Drosophila melanogaster: one gene and its partners. The protein of the gene in region 1 binds, or shares a complex with, the protein of each later gene. Each region holds a gene or a part of one and is shown in the gene's direction. Other genes may lie near its edges.

The links.
Region 2: MED20 (region 1) and MED24 share a complex: the UniProt entries of both Drosophila melanogaster proteins name them as parts of the mediator complex.
Region 3: MED20 (region 1) and MED21 share a complex: the UniProt entries of both Drosophila melanogaster proteins name them as parts of the mediator complex.
Region 4: MED20 (region 1) and MED1 share a complex: the UniProt entries of both Drosophila melanogaster proteins name them as parts of the mediator complex.

The regions. Positions count from the first base shown.
Region 1 is NT_033779.5:8,071,267-8,074,525, reverse strand, and holds MED20 (mediator complex subunit 20), read left to right. Parts: upstream 1-1,677; 5' UTR 1,678-1,764; coding exon 1,765-2,523; coding exon of another isoform or gene 2,524-2,571; 3' UTR 2,572-2,714; downstream 2,715-3,259. Other genes in the region: Trf (TBP-related factor), read right to left, coding at 810-1,329, 1,401-1,555; poe (purity of essence), read left to right, coding at 2,960-3,078. UniProt on the Drosophila melanogaster protein: Component of the Mediator complex, a coactivator involved in the regulated transcription of nearly all RNA polymerase II-dependent genes.
Region 2 is NT_037436.4:8,189,507-8,197,118, forward strand, and holds MED24 (mediator complex subunit 24), read left to right. Parts: upstream 1-1,763; 5' UTR 1,764-1,882; coding exon 1,883-1,972; intron 1,973-2,015; exon of another isoform or gene 2,016-2,065; coding exon of another isoform or gene 2,066-2,820; intron 2,821-2,907; coding exon of another isoform or gene 2,908-3,502; exon of another isoform or gene 3,503-3,610; intron 3,611-3,683; coding exon 3,684-3,770; intron 3,771-3,828; coding exon 3,829-3,986; intron 3,987-4,055; coding exon 4,056-4,898; intron 4,899-4,965; coding exon 4,966-5,326; intron 5,327-5,383; coding exon 5,384-6,201; intron 6,202-6,340; exon of another isoform or gene 6,341-6,344; coding exon 6,345-6,969; 3' UTR 6,970-7,067; downstream 7,068-7,612. Other genes in the region: Atg18a (Autophagy-related 18a), read left to right, coding at 336-463, 545-762; CG7387 (uncharacterized protein), read right to left, coding at 2,066-2,820, 2,908-3,502; NEDD8-conjugating enzyme UbcE2M, read right to left, coding at 7,234-7,377. UniProt on the Drosophila melanogaster protein: Component of the Mediator complex, a coactivator involved in the regulated transcription of nearly all RNA polymerase II-dependent genes.
Region 3 is NT_037436.4:25,114,384-25,117,752, reverse strand, and holds MED21 (mediator complex subunit 21), read left to right. Parts: upstream 1-1,806; 5' UTR 1,807-1,924; exon of another isoform or gene 1,925-2,028; 5' UTR 2,029-2,049; coding exon 2,050-2,091; intron 2,092-2,147; coding exon 2,148-2,534; 3' UTR 2,535-2,829; downstream 2,830-3,369. Other genes in the region: Set1 (SET domain containing 1), read right to left, coding at 2,856-3,029, 3,086-3,369. UniProt on the Drosophila melanogaster protein: Component of the Mediator complex, a coactivator involved in the regulated transcription of nearly all RNA polymerase II-dependent genes.
Region 4 is NT_037436.4:21,628,404-21,636,386, reverse strand, and holds the start of MED1 (mediator complex subunit 1), read left to right. Parts: upstream 1-1,940; 5' UTR 1,941-2,091; coding exon 2,092-2,125; intron 2,126-2,190; coding exon 2,191-3,471; intron 3,472-3,547; coding exon 3,548-5,454; coding exon of another isoform or gene 5,455-5,475; exon of another isoform or gene 5,476-6,266; intron 6,267-6,473; coding exon 6,474-7,679; 3' UTR 7,680-7,983. Other genes in the region: ORMDL (orosomucoid 1-like), read right to left, coding at 265-400, 618-769, 826-1,002. UniProt on the Drosophila melanogaster protein: Component of the Mediator complex, a coactivator involved in the regulated transcription of nearly all RNA polymerase II-dependent genes.

The DNA.
Region 1 (3,259 bases):
ATTTTAGAAATCATTAGCGAATGTATCTTGACAAAAGTTTGCAAGCATATCGAATGGAAATTTATCTAATTTGTATTATCTAACTCTTGAATACATTTTTAAACGAAATGAAGTGAAAATCGTTGAAGAAACCGTCCAATTAATTTATGCAAATAATGAATCTGCATAGTTTGTAAGTTTTATACGTATATACGCCTTCATATGAACCACAATTAGTTTATAAATTCCCAACACAAATCTCACATAGCCATGTACATGAAGCTACTAAGCGAGAAACAAGGAAATTTTTGTACACAACTTAAGAATGTCGCTCCTTTCCGTACCATAAGAATCGAATCGAATCTCTATGAAGTGTCTTGTGTTTTCTTTTGTAATAAACGAAACCTGAAAATAAATAAAAGTAATGTTTATCCAAATGTGTTTTCTTTTCATGGAATGTGTTGGTACACTTCAGAATTTGTGGATTTGAATATTTTTCCCAAATTCCAGGAATGGGTACAAAAATGTATAAAAATTCAAATTACTTACAAATTTATTATTAATTCAAAGAATAGAATGAAATGGATTACAAGACATTAATATATAAAAATTTATTTAAAATAACAACAGTTTTTTTTAAATAAAAATTAATTTGCTTAGTAAGGCCAAAATAAAATCTTACAATTTCTATGAATTTACCCATGGAAATTATTAATTAAGTTGTTTCATTTCACATTTTATACTAAAAAAGTTAAGGTAAATATATTAAAAATATTGTAGTTATGGAATATAACTAAGCTAAACAAAAACATTTGGATGTGTAGAAACAACTACGTCTTGCGAAAACTTAGTAAAATAGGTGATATCGCCTCCAGGCAGTCCATAATGTCCTTGCGCGACTTGGCGCCCGTAAATACAACCTTTCCGTTGACGAAGATCAGGAGAACGATGCGCGGCTTGACCATGCGATAGATTAGGCCTGGAAACATCTCCGGTTCGTAGGAACTAAACTGCCCGTGCACGTGGTTGAGGTTCTCCAGGCGGATGGGGAAGCGCAGATCAACGGTGGCCACAATATTCTGCAGCTTGTATTCCATGAACTTTACGGGGAATCCCAGCTTCTGCAGGATGCGTGCGAACTTTCGCGATCCAATGTCCGCCTCAATCTCGTTTCGTGCACCCGTGCAGATGACCTTGCCCGTTCGAAAGATTAGCGCTGTGCACCTGGGCGAGTGCATTCGCATGATGACGCCACGAAAGCGCTTGGGCGAGTACTCCGAGTTCCTCGTACGCGAGTTGATTGCCTTGAGGTCCAGTTCACAGTTCACCGAGAAGGTGGCCACGATATTCCTGCAAGTTATGGATGTATCAATGGGTTTCTATTTATTTCATGAAGTGCCTCTGAAAAGTGGTCAACCAACTGCAATCGTATCTCATGTTGTGCATCCTTGGGCTCCACCAGGGCAACGGGCTGTTGCGGCTGCAGGGCTGCGTGCGGATTGGCGGCAGCATTGCTGGTCGCAGCCACATTATCCCTGTCCCTTTCAGCGTCCGCGACTTTAAAGTGAAACTGCATTGCCGAAAATTATAAACAAATCCGCACGCGACGTGGCCAGTGTTGTCCTATTTTATTGCTGACGAAAATTGTATGCCGGTTTGGTATTTTTATTTGTCTAACTTTTCTCATGACTAAAAAGTCAGCACTGGTCACACTGGACGCTTTTAGCTTGCAAGACTTGTAAACAAAATTAATAAAACTAAAAAGCTGACATTATTGCATAAACTATGGGAGTAACTATCCTTCAACCGTATCCCTTACCCGAAGGCAAATCGGGTGCCCACATAATCGATCAGCTGAGCAAGCGTCTGCTCGCCCTGGGCGCCACACATGCCGGTCAATTTCTGGTGGACTGCGAAACGTTCATCTCGACGCCACAGCCGCACAATGGAGCACCTGGACGCGCAGTCCACGTCCTGCACAACTCCGAGTATCCCGCCTCCACGTTCTCGATCATCGACAATGGCACCGGCAAACAAGTGGCCATTGTCGCCGACAATATCTTCGATCTGCTCATGCTCAAGATGACCAACACCTTCACCTCCAAAAAGCAGACCAAAATCGAGTCCCGTGGCGCTCGTTTCGAGTATGGTGACTTTGTTATCAAACTCGGTTCCGTCACCATGATGGAGCACTTCAAGGGCATCCTCATCGAAATCGAGTACAAGTCATGCGTGATTCTGGCCTACTGCTGGGAAATGATACGCGAAATGCTGCAGGGATTCCTCGGCATTGCTGTGAATAAGGACTTTCCCTCCTATTTCGCTCCACAGACAATAATGACGGCAATGGGGCAACAGCAGCTGCATGCCAAGCACAACGACATCTTTGAGCCAATGGACACCGTGAAACAATACCTGGAGCAGTTCACCAACTATAGGAAGCATGTGACTCTTATGGGCGGTATGGGCAGTGGACCGGGTAGCCAACAGGTTGGTCCGAACGTGCATATGTCGCCGGCGGTGGCGGGACTACATCGATCCTGATCCGCCGACGTCAAGCTGGAGCCACCGGATGAGCCTGCAGCCGATTAAGATGTTTAGAAGATAATTTAAACAAAAAAAATATACATATGTCACTAATATTTAATAATTAAATAATCATTATTTTAAAGCTAGCATCACTAGTTTGCTTTACATATTTTAGACGAATAAACAAAACATTTATTAGCTTGTCCAAATACGTTTAAAATATTATAGTTATATATATATATATATATATATTTTGTGCAGTGTACAGTTTTTTTCATATATTGGTTATTCACTACTTTTTTATGTATTTTTAAAACAGCTGATTGGAATAATGATTAAAGCTGTGTGGTATCCCTGCTCGCACGGCATTTTACCGTTAATGAAATCTGGCCACACAGTAGGCCGAGTACTCAGTACTATCGGGCAAATTGACGAGATTATTTAAACAATAATGTCGGCCCACAGCGGCGGAACGGATTGGAATTCCGTTGTTAAAGCCCTGATACTTAACCGTACAGGAGCCTTAAACAAGAACGAAGTTGTTAATTTGCTCAAAGCTATCACGCGATGGTAAGTACAAACGATCATCTAGAACTTTTCGCCTACCGAATGGCGTAGTGAAAAATTTTCTGCTAGTGCAAAAAGTGACTTGCAAAATTAAATATGGCCGCTCCGGTGACGAAATAGCAAAAAGCTTTGAAAATTCTTTAATATCGAGAACTAACAACGCTCTATTCCGATATTTGCATAG
Region 2 (7,612 bases), on another chromosome or scaffold:
GTGAAAAAGCCATAAAATTCTACCTAGCTATAAAGAATTTCGAAAACTGCAATTCTATGCGAGCTTAATACCTCAGGTAGGGAATCTGAGTTCTAGATACCAATGCAGTTGTTCCGCGTAAATCATTTACACTACCTACTTTATCTGGCTTCATATGTTTGAATTTCCCTGAACTCTGTTGAAATGTAATTAATATGCTCTTTGCAAAAGTAGCCTAGTACATTTCATAAAGGTTTATAAAACAAAAATTGAATCACGTGCAAATTGAACTACAAACTGATTACCCTGCCTCTATTTCAAGTTCTAAATAACGGTTCATTCTGTTGTATTTGTAGACTTTTGATTGCCTCGCAGGATGGGTACTTGTACGTGTATTCCATTCCCACCGTCGAGGGCGCAGAGTGCCAGCTAATAAAGAGGCACGACCTGCGGCTGGAGGACCACTATGCCATGGATATCAAAGGTGCTTAACTGTTCGCTTCTCGCACACACTTCACACTTACACACATCCCAACCAAACCCACAATCGAAACAAATTCTCTAGTTGATTCACCTCAAACTCTAGGCCTTAACAGTGGCGTGAGCATTGGCGGAGCAGCTGGAGTTCCGCCGAGCAGTGCAAGTGCAGCCGGAGCAGGCACTGGTGGAAGTGGCGGTGATGGCAAGTCGGCTGTTTCTGTTACCGGTGGTGTCGACAAACCAAGTAGCTCCTATGCGTCGGCCGTGAAGGGTGACGATCCCGTGGGACCCTCATCCGCTTAGACAAGGTCAATGATCAAAAATGAGAGATGCAGCGATGGTAAACGAAACTCACTCCTCAAAGTAATAAGGACGATGATGCTAAAGTGATTACAATGATGCTTGGCGACTGGCGGCGGCGATAATGATGATGAATAAACGACGGTGGCTCTGTGGCGTCAAGCGTATTTAAGTAAATAAATAGGTCATAGACTTAATTTAGCTCTTAACGTTGTCAGCGATGATTCTTCCTCGTTTTGTACCAGCCAATATTCCTTTGTACGGCCTCTCCCTACCCAAAACATTTTTTAGTTTTAAGCCTCCGTTCCTGGCGCTGCCATTGGAATGTGAAATGCTTTTGTCATACACTCCTAAGTTAGTTGTTAATTAATAATTTAGACGGATTTACAGATTCGCTTTGATATTTGAGTTGCCAGCTTTTTATACAAAATAAACGGCCTTTGCAAATTAGTTTTTAATTTTTTTATTTTTCCAGTCCTCGCGCATCTTCCCTTGACAATCCACCGAACTCGATTTGTATGTAAAGTTCTCGCCTAGCTATTGTTTAATCATATCGAAATATCTCGGATTAAGCACATACACCACACCTATATATATATATTATATATTCAATTTAAAATTTAACATTCAGCTAGCGACACGATGAGTGAAATGAAATTCAAAAAATCGGAGCGTGCAATGGAGGAACAATTTTCGGCATATATAAATAGAATATATTTTGTACAAAGTCAAATATTTTAGAACATAATGTTTAAAATGAAAACAGTTTACAAATGAAACTCATACGCTACTTTATTGTATTCAATAAATTATTTGAATTAAAATTTGTTTGTGGGTGCCTTTTCGGTGTCTTAAAATATATTTTAATATTATTTCCTTTATTTGGCTAAATTCCTCGTTGCAAAAACAAAATTTTCAAAATATTTAAAATTGGCGACAAATTTTAAGATTGTGTGTTTTTCAACACTGTAGGATGGGAAAATTATGGTACTCTTTTGGTATGATTAATAAAAGATACCTCGGTCACACTGAGCGCTGCTAAAAAATATATTAGGTTTAAATAAAATAAATTGCGTGAAATACGAGAAAAGTAAAAGTTATATTACTTCCACGGACGCGAGAGATGAAGGAGAACAACAAGATCCTCCAACTCATCTATGTGGCGTGGCGCGAGCGCTGGACGGACTCCCAGTGGGGCATCAACATAAAAAAGGCAAGGCAACCCAAGCAAATCAACACACCAAACAATCAATGTTCGTGTTTACCAATATATTGTAAACGCAATGAGGCCGGTACATTGAGAATTTTAGTGACTCAAATTGCCCGCCTCCGTGCTCTTAGTCTTGGGCTCGAAAACCGGATCCTCTGCCTGGGACAGTGCCAAAACCAGTTGGCGTTGCTTTACGGAGAGATTCCGGGGTATACGCACCTTCAGCGTGACGATGTGGTTGCCCACGCCCTCCCTGGAGCGCACCCCCTTGCCATTGAGCACCACCTGGGTGTGGGATTGGGTGCCCGGCTCCACACGCAGCTCCACGCTTTCGTACAGACCCCGTATCTGAAAGGATCCGCCCAGAATGGCCTCCGAGATGTTTAGGTGCTTGTCGGTTAGAATGTCATTGCCAACGCGTCGGAAATAGTCGCTAGACGGCACCGACAAGCGGTAGGTGACCTGCTGCTTCGTTTCCGGATTTATAATGTTCACCACATCACCGTCCCGGGATCCGGAAGGCACCGATACCATCACATCCACATTGGACACCACGAAGCCGCGATTCGAACATGTTTCGCAGTCGTTGCGATTTGTGAATCGCTTGCCCTTGCACTGCGTGCATGTGTTCACCGATGAGAAGGTTGGCGTTTTGGTCATGACCTTTCCAGTTCCATTGCATCGCCGACAGGGTTCCTTGCCCACATCCCGATGCGCCATCAATTGTGACTTGCCCTTGCAGGTCTCGCATTTCCGCAAGTAGCGCAGCTCTATCCGCTTCTTGCATCCCACTGTCGCCTCAAGGAAGTCAAGTGGCAGATCGAACTCGTTGCTCTTCAGTTTGTTGATCTCTAGAAGGCGATTCAAGGATCGTGTTCATATCGTGATATAGTGAAAAGTGAAATGGTGTTTGATGTATCTAAAATCCGTCTGCTTACCATCATTTGTCGTCTTATCCGAATCGAACTTCTTGGCCTCCTCGAGGCCCACATTTAGGGGATTGCCCGCCTGTTCAAGAAAAGCGCGCTCATCCTTAATCCCGCCCAGCTGATCGTACTCCAAGCGCTTCGTCTCGTCGGTTAGGATGTTGTAGGCGTTGGACAGCTCCTGGAAGTGCTTCAGCTTTTGTTCCGAGTGCGTCGAGTCGGGATGATAGCGCTTGGCCAGCGCATAGAAAGCCGATCTGATTTGCTGGATGGTGGCGTGCCTGTTGACGCCTAACACTTTGTAGTAGTAGTCCTTGGGCATGCCTCGGCTTTGCGGGTACTTAACAGCCGGAGATGACACCTGTTGAGGCGTGGCTCCCGCTGACGTTCGCTTCGCCTCCCGCTGGCGATCTGGATAGTAGGCTGGTTTCGTGGTCCTGAACTGATATTGACTGATCATCCGCATACAGATCCAGCAGGCAGCGACAGCGGGAGCGCGATCCAACTCCAAACAATGTGACGTCTTCCTGCAGCAATCCGTTGCAGCTCCGCTAATTAAAGTGCTTAATACGTCTCCAGGACTGCGAAATAATTTTAAACGAAACATTTTTTATCGCGTAACGAAATATGCAACTATGTGTGCTAACTATATAAGTGGAAATCCTAACTAGATTTTTAAGTGGTTCTGTTTCTGTTTATTTTATGGGGTTGTGACCCAGATATTGTGTTAAAGTTTGACAGGAAAAGAAAATGTTTCATTATTGTCTTTCCCTTGATTACTATTTCAGGTGCTGCCGAGAGGAGTCAGTGGAGATGTATACAATCTGGCTGACTGTCTGATGCAGCAGGCACTCATTGGTTCCACGGCTAATCCGGTGAGTAGTTGATCTGAGTATTTAGATTGTTTTCTAAATTGTAATCTATGCTTTTCAGTTGGTTCTTAACTACCTGAAGCATTCACTGTGCGCCCATCTCGTTTCTCACGCTGCTGTTATTCGGTGCATTGCCAAATATGACAAATTAGAGCGCGTTTATTGCATTACAGCGCTCCTTGAATTCCTGGCCAGCATCGTGGATGGCGTTACCTGCCGGTAAGTCCTTTTAGTTTTATAAGTCGTTAAAAAGCAGGAGTAAAAATAATTGTTCATTTCTATTTCCAGAATAAAATCTGAGGAAGCGGTTTTACCGAGTTCCGTCGTCCACTTGGTGTACTGGCTGCTTCAAATCTTCGCCAGAACTGTGCAGCACTATGAACTGTATGGTGAGATTAGTGCTGAGCAATCATACATGCTGGACCAGACCTGCGTGGTGATAGATCGGCTTAGCCAGCAGCAGTTCCTGCTGTCTATGCTGTACGTGGGCTGTCACGAAGAGCTCGAAATATGTGGACGGATTCGGGATAAGTACGCTACCATCAAGGGATCGTTGACGAACTCAAACTTTACGCTAAATGCACCACAAGTGGAGCAGCAATTGCAGCAGTTGGCCTTTATAGAAGCCAAGCATCTTGAAATGCAACCACTTAATCCGCCGTCAACACTCGAGAAGATCTCGTGCTGCGTGCAACCCTTACTGGCGGTGGAAGTGCTTCTCAATCCGTGCAAGGACACCAGCTACTACGTGGCTGAGTTGCAGATGCTGCAACGATTAAAGAAATACTCCAATACACGGCTCTTCTACGAAATCATCCGTGCTGGATTCCTCACGCTGAGCAATGTTGCGGATACAAGTCCTGACACTATGTGGGGTGCCTTTATGTTCTTTAAAATGCCGCACATCATTAAGCAATTGCACGCCCTGCAACGGATTCCCGGGGAGCAACCACCACCGGCCGATTACATACCCGAGTTGGTGGAGGCTTTGGAATTGCTCATCGAGGACAATCTGCTGCTAGACTTCATGGATACTAAGTGCTCATGCAATATGATCGAGTTCCTTTTGAATGACTGGACCAAGCAACAACTAGTCAATGATGTCCACGTAAAGAAGTTCGCCAGTCAAAGGTTAGTCGAGAAATCATGCATTTTGTACACCCATCTTAATTATATAATTTAAAACGAACTCTTTCAGGGAAGCCGCCTCTCAATTACTCAAAAAATGCGACAATGGCCAACAGACACCCTCCAATATAAACTTCATCAAGCGCGCAGAGGTTCCGCTTTCCGGAGTACTAAAAACGCTGTGCACCAACAAGGTCCAGGACATGGTTAATGTCCTTTGCCAAGTGCCGGTGGGCAACAGCTTCGAGTTGATTCTTTCAGTGGCTACCGTCGAGGGACGCCTCAAGACATTCGTATCGCGTCTGATCCAGTGCAATGAGAACTCCAAGCCGGTGCCGGGCGACCTGGGCAAGCTATGCGTCATCCGGTCCACTCTGTTTGATGTTTCCTTCCTAATGTTGACAAGCATTGTGCAGACCTATGGATCCGATGTTCGTAAACCCGCCTGTTATTACGCTGCAATTTTAATGAATTCTATTTTACTTCAGGTGGTCTTATCTGAGCGTGGTGACTCATTTTTTGAAAAATGGGTGCGTGAGTGCATGGTGGAAAGGAATAAGCTTAAGAATCCGCGTCAAATTCTTGCCCTCTGTGATGACAGTATTGTCGACGAGCTTTTGCTTAGCTTCAGTAAACCAGAGGCATCACAACTTAAGCCAAACAACTTAAGTTGGCAGGAGACTTGCCTTAATCTGCCCGGAGTGCTTCATCATGTGCTAATAGCTTGGGAGCAGGAAACGCTATCCTCGGCGGACGTTAAAAGTATTCTGGACAATATTAAGAGAAGACTTTTCAGTTTTTCCGTTTGCGCCACTAGTTTTCTATGCGCCTACATGTATTCGGTGAAGGAAACGGAACTTCTGAAACCACTAAACATGATTCAGCAGTTCCTGGCTCCGTTGACCAGCGAAGAGCTTTCCAGCCAGGAAAATGCCAAGGAGCGACTAGCTCTCTCCTATCAGATTATCAGAAAAATGCAACACGATGTGCATCCTGCCCCAAGTACCAAGTCCCGCCTCATTTCACATTCCCCGCTAGTCGAGCAGTTTCGGGAGGTGTGGCGAACAGTAGTCGATGCTGGTCACCTGCCCGTTCGCGCCGCTCAGTCGTTGGAGTCGCTTCTGCTAGCCGGTGGCGCGGCGTGGCTGTCCACGCAGTTGGTGGAGCAACTGCTGGCCTGCAAGTACACAAGGGATATGTCGCGAACCATGGACGTTGTGTTTGCCGTAATGCATCTCGACATTGAGAAGACCACTGAGGCGTTGCTCCAGTACGTGGTGGCTCCACTGATACTGCGACGACAAGGGTAAATACCAATATTTTCTTCTGTATATTATTTCATTTATTTATTATCTACAAATCGAATCGATTTAGCAAGAAAGGATGTAAAAATTGAAACTGCTATGATAGAACTCGTACTCACAATTTGGCAATCTTTTTTTTTTCTAGTGAGGACATTAATGAGCCCCAATCCCTGGTACTGGCCCGCCTCTGTGTTTACTGTATTATTTCCTGCCTGGAGAGCCGCAAAGGAAATGGCACTTCCGCTTTGACGGCCATGAAGAAGCGATCGAGATCTCACGATGACGAGGAACTGGCGGCCAATGCAGCCAAAGTGCGCAAGGTGATTGGCGATGGCAGCGACAACTCAAGCGACTTTACGGACACTACGACCGGAGCTGGCCTGGCAGCATTATTGGGCTCCACTTCCACATCTGAACTGCGGACTACGCCGCTTACTCTAAGAGAACCACTGCAGACGAGCGTGCAGCACATTTTCGCAGTGTTCCTGCAGTTTGTCAGTGGAGATGAACTGTCGCCCAAGGCCGTTTTTGTTTATCAGTTCATTTCGCTGCTGGTGGAATGCGGTGGTGAGAGGGTCGCTCCCGTCCTGCGCTTGCTGCCCAACGGCCTGGTGCAACAGCTCCTGAAAGTTTTGGTCACCGACGACATAAAAGTGGGTCTCATCAGCAGACTATACGATCTGCGAATCCAGGCAGGAAGACTGTCCGCTGTGTCTGATCTTTGCCTGTGGCGAAATATGCAGATGGCCAGGCACAGCATTCATCTGTGAGGGATTTGGATGATTGCCACATTGGGTATGCCGATTATGATTAAGAGACGGGTGGGCGAAATTGCTAAATGAATTGTATTAAAAACTAGAAATTGGTGACTTGACTCGGCTTCTTCTTTGCACGCAGTGGATTTTGTTTTCGTTTATTACAATAATTTGTTGTCGCCGATGTTCGTCTGTGTTTTGCTTCATCTTCTTCAGTTAGCGGGTGTAGGGGGAGGTGTATGGACAGGCTTAAAGTAAGAGACCTTGCGATTCCCTATATCACTTGAGCAGACAGCACTCGAAGTAGGTCTCGCCCACACAGCCACCACGCATCGCCTTCTTTACATTGTTCTCGAACTGACGGCGGTTGGTCTGCAGGACGTCGGCCGCCTCCTTGTTGAGCGGATCCTCGGGATTGGGTTCCTGGAAGCAGTTAATTTGGATTAGTAATACTGTTGGCTTGGGTAATAACAAAAATAGAAATAATGATCGTTAAGTGGTATAAACAAACATTTATATTGAATTGTTTCAGTGGGCGTTCAATTAAGCACACTTAGAAATCAATTGTTCACAAAACAAGACATAAAAAATCAATTGTAACTTGAAAACTGTGGCTGTTGATCAAGACTTATGGAACAAAGCGTATAGCCTCTAAAAT
Region 3 (3,369 bases), on another chromosome or scaffold:
AACTCACACAGTTCATTACCGAAAAAAACACTGGAGTAATGCTACTATCAGAAACGCACCTCACAAATCATTCAGATGGTAAAGCTCTTGGAGGCACTGGCATACTAATCAGAAATCGCATAAAAACCACCTCAATCTACGTCCATAGTCTAACTACTCAACAATGGTTCAATGACTCTAGCCGCAGTCTACTGCCCACCACGCTATCCAATACATACTGACCAGCAGACCCAAGAAAAATCCCAGACCCAGATCACACATAGAACTAACGCCGGCATTATCTGCTAAGGAAAATATAGACAAGTCAACGGACACTGTTGAAAATATTCTAGTTTCGGGTGCAAAGTGACGTATGCCCACCAGCACTAAGAACCTTTTGTAGAGAAAAGACAGTGATGAGAAAAGAGCCAGAGCAGTTGCTGACCACTTACAAATTTTATTTCTACCAAATCCTGCTATAAAGTCATTATTCTCCCTCCTTTAGCAGAAGCAAACTTAGATTATGTGAATTAGCAAAGGTTATCAAAAAGCAACTGAAGCGATTTTGGCTTCGACCTAATAACTCAAAAAATCCTTATTGAACTCCCAGTGTGATGTTCTGCACATGTGCTTGTTGTTCAACGCAATCGCCAAGCATGGATACTTCCCTCAAAAATGGAAAAAATCTACCATAGTAATGATTCCAATGCCAGGAAAAGATAAAACGCAGCCATCATCATATAGACCGATACAGTAACTAACTTATCTCTAAAATTTATTTGAAAAAATGCTACTCCTGGGAATAAGCCCTCGTCATGGAAAAAACATGGAACCATCGAACAGGCCAATCGAATCACGTCAGAAATTCGTACTGCTTTTGAGCATCGAGAATATTACACAGCCATTTTACTAGACGTCGCGCAGGCATTTGACAGTGTTTCTGGATGGACTTTTGCTTAAACTAGCCAAGCTATTGTTCCAAAACATACATAAGCTACTGAAGTCGCAATAAGATGCAAGGAACCTTCACTGGCTCATGCTCGCTCTCCACTTAGCGTGGAGTTCAAAGCTCTCCTATACAACTCCGTCTTAAAACCAATCTGGACTTATGGCTCCGACCTGTGGGGCATCCATTCAGCGAGAACAGCCAACAATTCTGAGAATTCTGACTAGAGCGTGATACCTTCGGAACGAAGACATACACAGAGAGAAAAAAATCAAATTATTTATCGAAATAATAACTGAGAAGAAAATTAAAATACCTAGTAAAACTGACCACCCATTCAAATCCCCTCACAAGAAAACTAATCGGAGGCACAAAGTGTTCGTATCATAAAATCTTTGTTGCTTTTAAAAACCTTTAAAAAACAAGAGAGGTAGCTTTAAAATTTTTCATATGACATCTTTAAGATATGGTGAACCGATTTAGATATGTTAAAAATTAAAAGAATAATTATCGTGAAAAAGGGTACGGCTGTTCTTACTGATATTTATACCCACTTAATTGGACTGAAATGCTTTTTTCACTTCGTTGCAAGCTTATAACTGAAATCGATATACCCTCCTCAAGGATATACCAAGATTGTGTGAGAGAGGTTGCAGACTACTTGGAGACCAACTGCTTCCTTGTTATAACCGAAATTGTGATGATTTTGAACAAGACAAGAGGGATCGATGTGCAACGTGTGGTCATATATTATGGAGATTCCACTGTTTCCGACAATCTTATGGTAGTTTATATCGTTGGAATGAAGACATTATTATGGCACAGTGTGAACAAGAATAATTCGTCTCATTGAAAGAAATCACGTTTTAGTGTGGAACTCATATTAATAGCATTTCTTTTTTTAAGAGAATAGTCGCTGCTGTGAGGTATCTGTAAATAAGACATAAAATCAATCGATAAATAAATGCTTATATATTATAAAAATCACCAACGGTCATTGTATGTTGATATTATGTTGATTATGTTATGTTGATATTAAAAATGTTAATCAAAATTTGAACTGGCTAATCAAACTTAATTCCATATAATTTTTTGTTTTTCAGAATTATTAACTCTGTAGTAAAATGGCGGATCGGCTTACACAATTGCAAGACACCGTTAATCAGGTAAGTGACTTCGTATTAAGAAATAACCAGTTTTTTATGTAAAATAATCATTGCAGCAAGCGGAGCACTTCTGCAATGCTATTGGTGTAATTCAACAAACGTCCCTTCCAAGTAAATTTGTTAATTTTGAACGCATTGGACCCCAAACGCCAATCCCATGTCCGCCGCAAGAAGACTATGCCCAATTATTTGCACAGTTAATTGCACGATGTGCTAAAGACATCGACACCTTAATCGAGTCTCTTCCAAATGAAGACAGCTCCATTGAACTCCAAAATTCTAGCCTTAAGAGGCTCGAGATCGAAAACCAGGGAACTGCAAGAGACCTAGAGGAAGTAGTGCAAAAAGGCGAACTTTTGCTAGAAAAAATGCAGTATTCTTTGGAATGCATTGCTCAGGCTCAATTAGATATGCAAATAACACTCAAACATGATTTACAATAGCTGCTTAACACATTTTTGTATAAAGGCAAATTATTTTTAAATTTAAGATAATGTATTTATTGCATTTTCGTTCGTGTTTACAGATCAAATGGGTTTTAGTATATACATATTGTTTTTATAAGTAAAGTATTTTAGCTTAATTTAGACCTAAACCATTTTGAACAGCACCTCTGACCTCGTTGATATAATTTTTATAATAATTAATTATAGTTTTAAGTTATAAAAAAAACTATATATACTTACACGTACCCCACTTTGGATTTTATGAACAAATTAAATTTATGTGCTCTAAAATATTTAATTCATTGTTGTAAATAAGTATTAGTTAAGTGTACCCCGACATCCTTGGGCGCCGCATAGACAAGGTATTTTTTCGTCTTCTAGTGGAAATTTATAGTCGTAAGTTATTTCCTCGTTGATACCAATGGGTTGCTTTGAATATATTACTATCTTCTTTTCAGATTCAATAGTTATAACCTTAGCGTAGCAATTCGGCTGAAAAACAAAATTTTATGTTGGTAACATAATGTCAGAACATCCAGCTTACTTACATTGCAACTGTGATTTATAAACCGAGCTAAGTTTCCACATTTAGTTGCGTCAATTATAGTTTCCATGTCAATTCGAAACAAATAGGAACTCCCAATCCCAATTGCTTCATACTTTGTTTCTCTTAGATCAGCAACTACAGGTCGAATCATCTGACCAACATATTCAATAACCATTTCGTCTGCAGCTATGGGCTCCATTGCAAATAATCCCCAATCATGTATCGCAGATTTTGCAAACTTAAGCTGTTTCTTCCGAAACTTTAGCTGATTAAATTTTAAAAGCT
Region 4 (7,983 bases), on another chromosome or scaffold:
ATGGTTCTACTTAATCGTCTGACATAATGGGTTATAAAATATCTCATGTGCTGGCCCCCAAATACATCTTTTAGATGATTTGTAGTTTCCATGATCAATAATTATTTATGCAATAAAAATCGAAACGCGATTTTTAGAATTATTTAATTTGATAAATATTTTATTTAGCAATATTTACATTTTTGAGCAAGAGCTGTGCCATCAATATAAGTTTGTATGTACATTTTCATTAAACAAAATAAATGCGGCCCGTTCTCACAGGAGCTAGTACTTGTTAATGTTGAACAGCCGCACGCCGTGGAACTGCGGCAGCTTGGGAAGCGTGACGACCACCAGGGATATAAAGTTTGGGATAAAGTGTTCCGTGTTGTTTCGGGTGTACAGACAGGTAAGTAGGAAACTATAAAAAAATCAATTATTTCATGAGTTTCTATGTTAGGCATTATATGGTAGCAATTACATTACTAGTTCAATTAAACTGCAGTACATAAAAAGTATTTATTGAAATACTTTGATCAACATTAAAACAAGTTTAGAATTTAAGTCTTCATTTAGTTTTAATTTTTTTAAATAAAAACCCACCTATATTGGCCGACTTTCAGTACGTATTCACTTACAGAACAATGGGAACAGCTGTGAGGAACTTGCGCGTTGTGGTCATCTGTACCCCGTCATCGATCTGTTCCCAGTGCGTCCAACGCCGGCTGGGATCGTTCTCCGTGCTCAGCCAGGGAGCGCCCTTGATGACGTGCAGAAAGTACAGGTGGGCCTGGCAAGAGGGATTAGGATAAGGACTGACTCCTCAACGGCGCCATGAGCACTCACTGCATTGTGAAGCAGGTTGGTAGCCGTCCAGGCCCATGGAATGCTAACGAAGGGCACTGATAAGAAGAGCAGGTGCACCGACAGCAGGCCCAGGAGGTATGCTAGCCAAAATCCCCGGGCACTCAGCCAGGAGCTGTTTGGATTCGCCTCGCCGTGGCCTCCCGCAATGGACGTCATGTGGCTGAATTGTTAACCTTTGGTTCCGAAACACTTTAATAACAAATATTTATCATTTACGCTCAATGTGACCGCGCATGCATACAAATATCGCTCTGCACTTTGATGATAATAAATATACCAAAATAATTTAGAGAAAACAGAAATTTGAAATACTTTAAATGTTTAATAAAATTTGAATTTAAGCTTTTGCAATTTTCTATGAAATATAACATCTACCTTTAGTAAAGGTTATGACTACTTTTGATTTGTCGGACCAAACCTATATTCAATATAATCCGTATATCTGTCGTAGTTTAGGTAAGTACGAGGAAGAGAGGAACGCTTAAGACTTATCATGAATTTAGCGAAATAAAATTTGTTTAAGTCGTAAGCTGTATTTGTTTACTTATTTGATTAGTCCTTAAAGTTTTTTTTAGCTGATATTTATTTTTATAGGATTATAGTTTCTTTCAAATCTCAAGAAACTTTAAATAATCATTTTCGGTTTCTTGGAACAGAAACCCCAAATTAAACTTTATGCCAATAAGACATTTAGAAATCATTGGAAATTTTAAATAAATATTAAATCATCGGTATTAAATTATGAGGCCTGTAATTTATTTTTTAACGAAAGAATGTTTGAGCTTTTCTGTTCATTACAATACCCTTGTAGCTTAAGAGAAAATTCGAGTAGGAAATGAGGCACAATTACATCATAAAAAATAGAATGTAAAAGTACCAGAAGGATGTATAGAATATAGATGTTAATTGCTTCATTATATTTACCCCTCATACTAAAAAATATAACATACATAATTGAACAGGCAATTGATACAAGCTTTGAATCAGAATACATCGAATATCAAATGACGCAGTGGAAATATCATAGTTCCGTTTTATATTCCAGTATTTTATTATAGCGTGACCAGCCACTGTGAAGGATCAGCCATTTTGTTGTTTTGGCGTTGAAATTTTTTTGCCATGATGAAGGCATAGAAAAAAGGTTCTGAGCTATTTAGATCGAGAACTTTTTCATTTGCCGCAATTCTTTGTCAAAAATGCCACAGCATCATTAAGTAAATACAGTTTACTTAGGAACGCATAGATATGAGCGGATCCAATGCAAAGTCCTCGGGGACTGGTAAGTACTAATATATACCCCCATAACTAAGATGTCCGGAGCACCACTGACACAAATCTGCACAGGCTTCGGCAGCCACATTCCCAGCATCGAGGAAAAGAACAAGCAGATCCAGCAGGAAACCATGATGGAGAAGCTGCGGGCCAAGTACCGGAACAAGCCAAAGAGCTACGAGGAGATCAAGAAGTCGGTGCGTATGTACTTTATCGAGAAGCACTACCCTCTGGACCCCCTGTGCAAGGCCACGCTGCAGTCGGCGCTGGACAAGTTGCAGCACTACATCAAGGTCACGTCACGCCACGGCCTTGTGGAGCGTTTGGAGAGCCTCTCGCGCCAGTTGGGCCTCAAGTTCATGGAGGACCAGCAGCTTCTCTTCATATCAACGGACATGTTCTACGTAGAGATCCTGCTGGACGCCGCCGGCAGTCTGTCGGACGTCAAGGTGCACCACGAGTGCAAGATCGAGCAACAGTCCAGCGAGCTAGTGGCCTGCCTCAAGTCTGGCGACTTTGCAGACTTTACGGTTCAACTCGAGGGTCTGTCCTCCATTTACCAGCTGAATGCCGAGCCCAAGGTGAAAAAGAAGGCGTTTGTAGCGCTTCAGGCCATGGAGACGGATATCCAGAGCCTATACCAACTGCACCTGCAAGGTCACTCCGGAGACAGCTACTCACTTATGACAAGTTCATCGGTGGGTCTTGTGCTGCCCCGTCGCGGTGGCCATCCTATGAGGCTTACTTATTTCTGCCCGCCGCTCCACCTTCCCGAAGGGGATCCCAAACTGGCCAGCGGCGATTTCACCATCGACCAGGTAATGCGAAGCAGCTACGGACTGAGTGCCACTATCAATCTCGAAGGCTCATCAGCCAACAAACTGCAGACTTTGCCAACGGTGACTTTGGTCCGCGATGCCCAAACGGGGTTGGAGGTTCCCACCTATGCCCAACTTAACCAGAACAACTCGCTGCTGATGCCGGCCACGTTTGTGCTTCGGCTGAACAAACCCATGCCTGTTTGCCTGGAATCACTAAAGGCTCTCGGTCTGCCCGGTCTAGACTCAGTTGCCACTCCTCCTGGTCCGCCCACCACAGTGCTTAATCTCATAGTACAAACTGCATCGAAGCAGGCCATTAAGAACACACAGCGCGGCCTGTATGTGAATTTACCTAAAGAGACGCACTGCTATTTCTTTACCGACAACCGCAAACTGCAGGGAACTCTGGTGTCATCACTGCCCTTCACTGAACCCGCCCAGGTTCCGCGAATCGTGGCGTTCCTCAAGAAACAAGCTCTCTTCTACACCCTGCTCGCAAGCTGTGTTCGTGAGCAGCAGAAGCAGTATAATGGTGAGTTGGGTGCTCCACTTCCCCCCACATTCCTGTTTTATGATAATAATATTTTTTTTATGCTCATTCGTCCCAGATATGGACAGCACTGTGATACTGGAGGTAACCGCCGTTTCATTTAATCAAATCACGGTTGAGCTGCAGCACCCGTACGAAGAGTCGCTGGCCACTGTGGATTTTCTGCTTGAGGATGGTCAGCCCACGTGCAGCGTTTACTGTCTGACCAACGAATACGAGCTGCTGTCCCAGAAGTTAACCCGCACCGCGCGCAAAGTGGTATCCATTCCGATGGTAATCTACAAGTTGCTTAAGTGCTGGGATGAGGAGCACGAATTCAAACTGCATGGCGCGATTGGACCTGGATCTGGTTCTGGAGCAATCGGAGGTGGAGGCATGAGTGGTGGTGGACCTGTCTCAGGAGTAGGCAATAACTTTAGCCAGTTTTCAATGGATACGCCGACGCCTTCCGATGGAAGCCTACCCGGAGGTGGCTTCGCCAACATTAACAACCTTAAAATGGATGCGAAGTCGCGATCTCTAGCGGATGCTTTTGCCGCTTCTACTTCGGCAGCAGCGGCCATAGCGGGTTTGATCAATCTTAAGCGGGAAACCGATCCACAGTCTGGTAGTTCGGCCAGTGGCACCACGGTCAGCGGCAGCTCCAGCTCATCCGGCTCCGCCAAGACGAGTGACCATGACATTGCTGACAAGTACAAAAATATCTGGAAGGACAAGACTCCAAATTTGAAGCATTGCGTCAGCATCACCCCCATCCCAGGAGATGGAAAGTCTGGATCAGCTGGGGGAGTGTCCGGGGTCGAGGTACAGCGAACGGGTGGTATCGAAATTATTCCATTGAATGCCCAGGCGGCTATAGCCGGAGGAGGTGTTACAGCCTCATCCAGTGCCACTCCCACGACTATAACTATTACCCCAATAACTGGCAAGGATCCCAGTAAGGACTCAACCAAAAAAAGTACCGCTGCTTCAGCTGGAGTAGGTGTGGCCGCAAAGCGTCCCCACGAAAGTAGCACAAGTAGTTCGTCTACGTCCGGTTGTAGTGGTTCTGGCAGCTCCATGTCGTCTTCAGCCAGCAGCGGCTCTTCAGATACGCAGAAGGAAAAGAAGCGCAAGAAAAAGCGCGACGATTCGCCCATGGGACCGCCGGAGAAGATCTATTCTAGGCAAAACTCGCCTGCAGGTGGCGCAGATGCTTCCGCAACTGGTGGAGTGGTTCGCAAGTTTTCCTCTCCCTCGTCGTCACCCAAAGCTGGTGGCGGTGGACAGGGTCTAATGGCCGGAGTGCCGACTGCCCGTCCCAGCCCCAAGCACTCTCCCGTGTATAGCAGTCCCAAGCACAACACCGCCTCCAACAGCCCGAAGTCGCCGTTTGGCACACACTCACCCAAACACGGCTCTTCCGGAAAGCCGAGCATGTCAACGCTTAAAAGTGCAGCTACAGCTGCCACCATCTTAAGTCCCAAGGGCGATAAGTCCTCGTCAGCTGTGGGTAACACATCTTCGGGACCATCCGCCTCCTCAGGATCCAGCGGAGCTACTGGCCTGGTGAGGTCATTTGCCAGCGTTGGAGCTCCGCCTCCACCACCTCCAATTCCTCCATTAGCGAGCTCGAGCGGATCTATCAGCAGCAGCCAGAGTTTAAAGAAGGAGAAAACCTCTTCGGCATCCGGTTCCAGTTCCACATCATCCTCGGCAACTGCAGGTGTCGCATCTGGCGGAGGTATTTCACCGGCAAGTGTGGCTGCTGCAGTAGCTGCCCTGAAATCCTCACAACAGCAGATGAAGTCAGTCGCCAGTCTTTCGCATCTGGCGGCGGGCGGGGGACTGGGTAGCTATGCGGCCCCGTCGGGAGCGGGAGCATCTGGTGCAGCCGCAGTGGTGGTGGGAGCAGGAGCTGGCGCTGGAGCGGGGGCCTCCGGACTGGAGCTGAGTGCCCTGCGCAAGGGCATGGCGGGAGGTGCGGTAAGTCCGTTTTCATTATAAGTGCTCCACTCCACACCACACCAACCCACCCCCAGCATCTCCCACTGGAAGCCTAACACGTAGTTGACTCTCTGCCACCTCTCCTAACCAATGCAGAATCAAACTCAGAGCGAACCTATCTTTAAACTAATGCAAATGCTGTATTTACTTTAGCTATAAAACGATTTGTAATTTGCCTACCTCTGCTGTAGTTGAAAATGATTATATTTAGTACTATGATTATTATTTTTGTTAGTGTTTCGTTTTGCCTTTTCTAATTTTTGTAAATACATATGATTCAATTATTTGTCATATATACTGCTGCATCCGTTTTATTTTCGACCAAACCCAAAACTCGTATGGTAATGGGGCTTATCCCCAAAACACCAGCTTAAACCTCTTTTTCTGCATTGAGAACGTATGTTTTTATTATTAGTTAATCTGTTTGATTTGTATAGTTGTTTGGCCAGCATGTGGCATGTAGAAAACCATGGCGTACTGGTTCACCAAGTTTATAGTGTCTACAGTATTGCTGGATTTATAAGAATGTGTATGCATATGACTTTTAAGCTTTGTTAAGAACATCAGTAAATAATGTGTAAATTAGTAGTGCTTGGCATCTTGACTCTACGAGTATTATAATTTGATTGTTTCCCCTTTTCTAGATTTAGTTACAAGAGTTCCTTCTCACTTAAATATTTACTACGTTTAAAATTAGTGTTTAATGTGCTTATGATGTACACTTTGAAAGTAGCTCCACAAGCGTTTGCCTCATACATTTTCTCCTCAAAAATATATTTCGTATCCGACTTAACTATAAAGCTAATTATTAACGGGGTCCATTCTTCTTTCTTCCTGTTTGTATTCCCTTCCTACACTACCAATGGTTGTGAAATCCCACAATTTTTTCTTTTGCTACACGTGATGTTCCCCTTTTTGATTGTTATAATTTCTTTTCTGGTTTATTTTTGGTTTCTTTGGTCCCTAACACACACACAACCACATGCTTACTTTGTCAGGTTAGTTTGATGACGTCGACGGCAGCTTTAGCGCCAACAATTCCGGCACCAACAACAACAGTGGCAGCGGGCTCGGCAGCGTCATTGGTGTCTCCAGTCTCAGCGGTAGTGGGTCAGGGGCAGGAAACAGCGGGAGCAGCGGCAGCAGCAACGCTGGCAACAGCAACAATTCTGCAGCAGCAGCCACAGCCGGGAGCAGCGCCAACTAGTAGCTGCTTAACCACCAGCGGGGGCAGCAGCGACTCCGCCGGGAGCATCAATCCGGCCGGAGCCTCCACGGAATACATGGTGAAGCCCAGCAGCCAAGAGGGCCTCAAGCTGACCATCAACAAGACGGGAAGCAGCAAGAGCTCCGGCACCGGCTCCGGCTCTAGTTCCTCCTCTGGCCTCCAAGCGAAGGCAAAGAGCAGCAGCAGCGGCGCCACGAGCTTCGCTGGGTCCACTGGATCCACGAAGAAGCAGCATACCGGACTCAAGCCGGGCGTTAACAGCGGACCCGCTTCCAAGAAGGCCACCGCAGCGGTCTCGTCCGCCACGGCATCATCCAGCAAGCATTTCTTCCAGAAGGCAAACTCCTCGGGCAATCTCAGCAGCAAGCTCAGTGGGTCGGGATCAGGTGGCGGAATTCCGCTGACTAAGAGCAACAGCACTAACTCCTTCCAAGAGCACAATGCCCCCAGGCGGCGTCCCAGCATGGGAGCCTTGGCTAGCGGCAGCAGTGGAGGAGGCAGCGGGCAGCGAAAGTTAGGCTCCGCTTCGGGAGGAGGCAGCGGATCTTCGGGGTCGGTATCGCCGGCCCTTAGCGGCTCAATGTCGCAGCCACCGCCGCGATTCGATCACCACACGGATATGATGACCATCCTCCAATACGCTTCTCCGACAATGGCCGCAAGCATGGAAGGCTTCATCAAGGGGCTCCACAACAAATTCCAGATCCCAAAGTTATCGCAGAGAGGAAGCGGAGGCAATACAACCAGTGGACGCAGCACGCCAAGTGGCAGTTCAGAACCGGCTTTAGCGGGAACATCATCTTCGATATTAGGACCTATTGCCAGCTCTACTGGACTGACGGAGCCGGAAGCGAAGCCGCCGGTGCCTCCTTCGCAGTCTGGCAATGAAGGACTGCTCAATCTTAGCAGCACGGCGGGTACACCATCGGCGGATGGGATAGATGAGGAGCTTTTGGCTAGCCTGGCTGGCGAATGACAGAAGAAAGACAGCCGTCATGAGATATTCCTGTTGCTCTATGCGATTTTCTCTTAAAGCTAGCATAGTGAGTTAGTTTAAAGCCATTAGTTACACGATTTTGTTTTATGATGCATAGAAACTAAGGATCTTATTAGGCAATTTCTTAACTTTATTGGCAGAAAAATGATTTAAAACTCCAAAGGAAATAAATAAAATTTTACAACACGATGGCGAATTTGGTACAAAATCTCAGAGATTATTCCCGATTCTGTTAAGTCGATCAAACCGAAATCACCTTATGCTTTAAAAATGCATTAGGTAA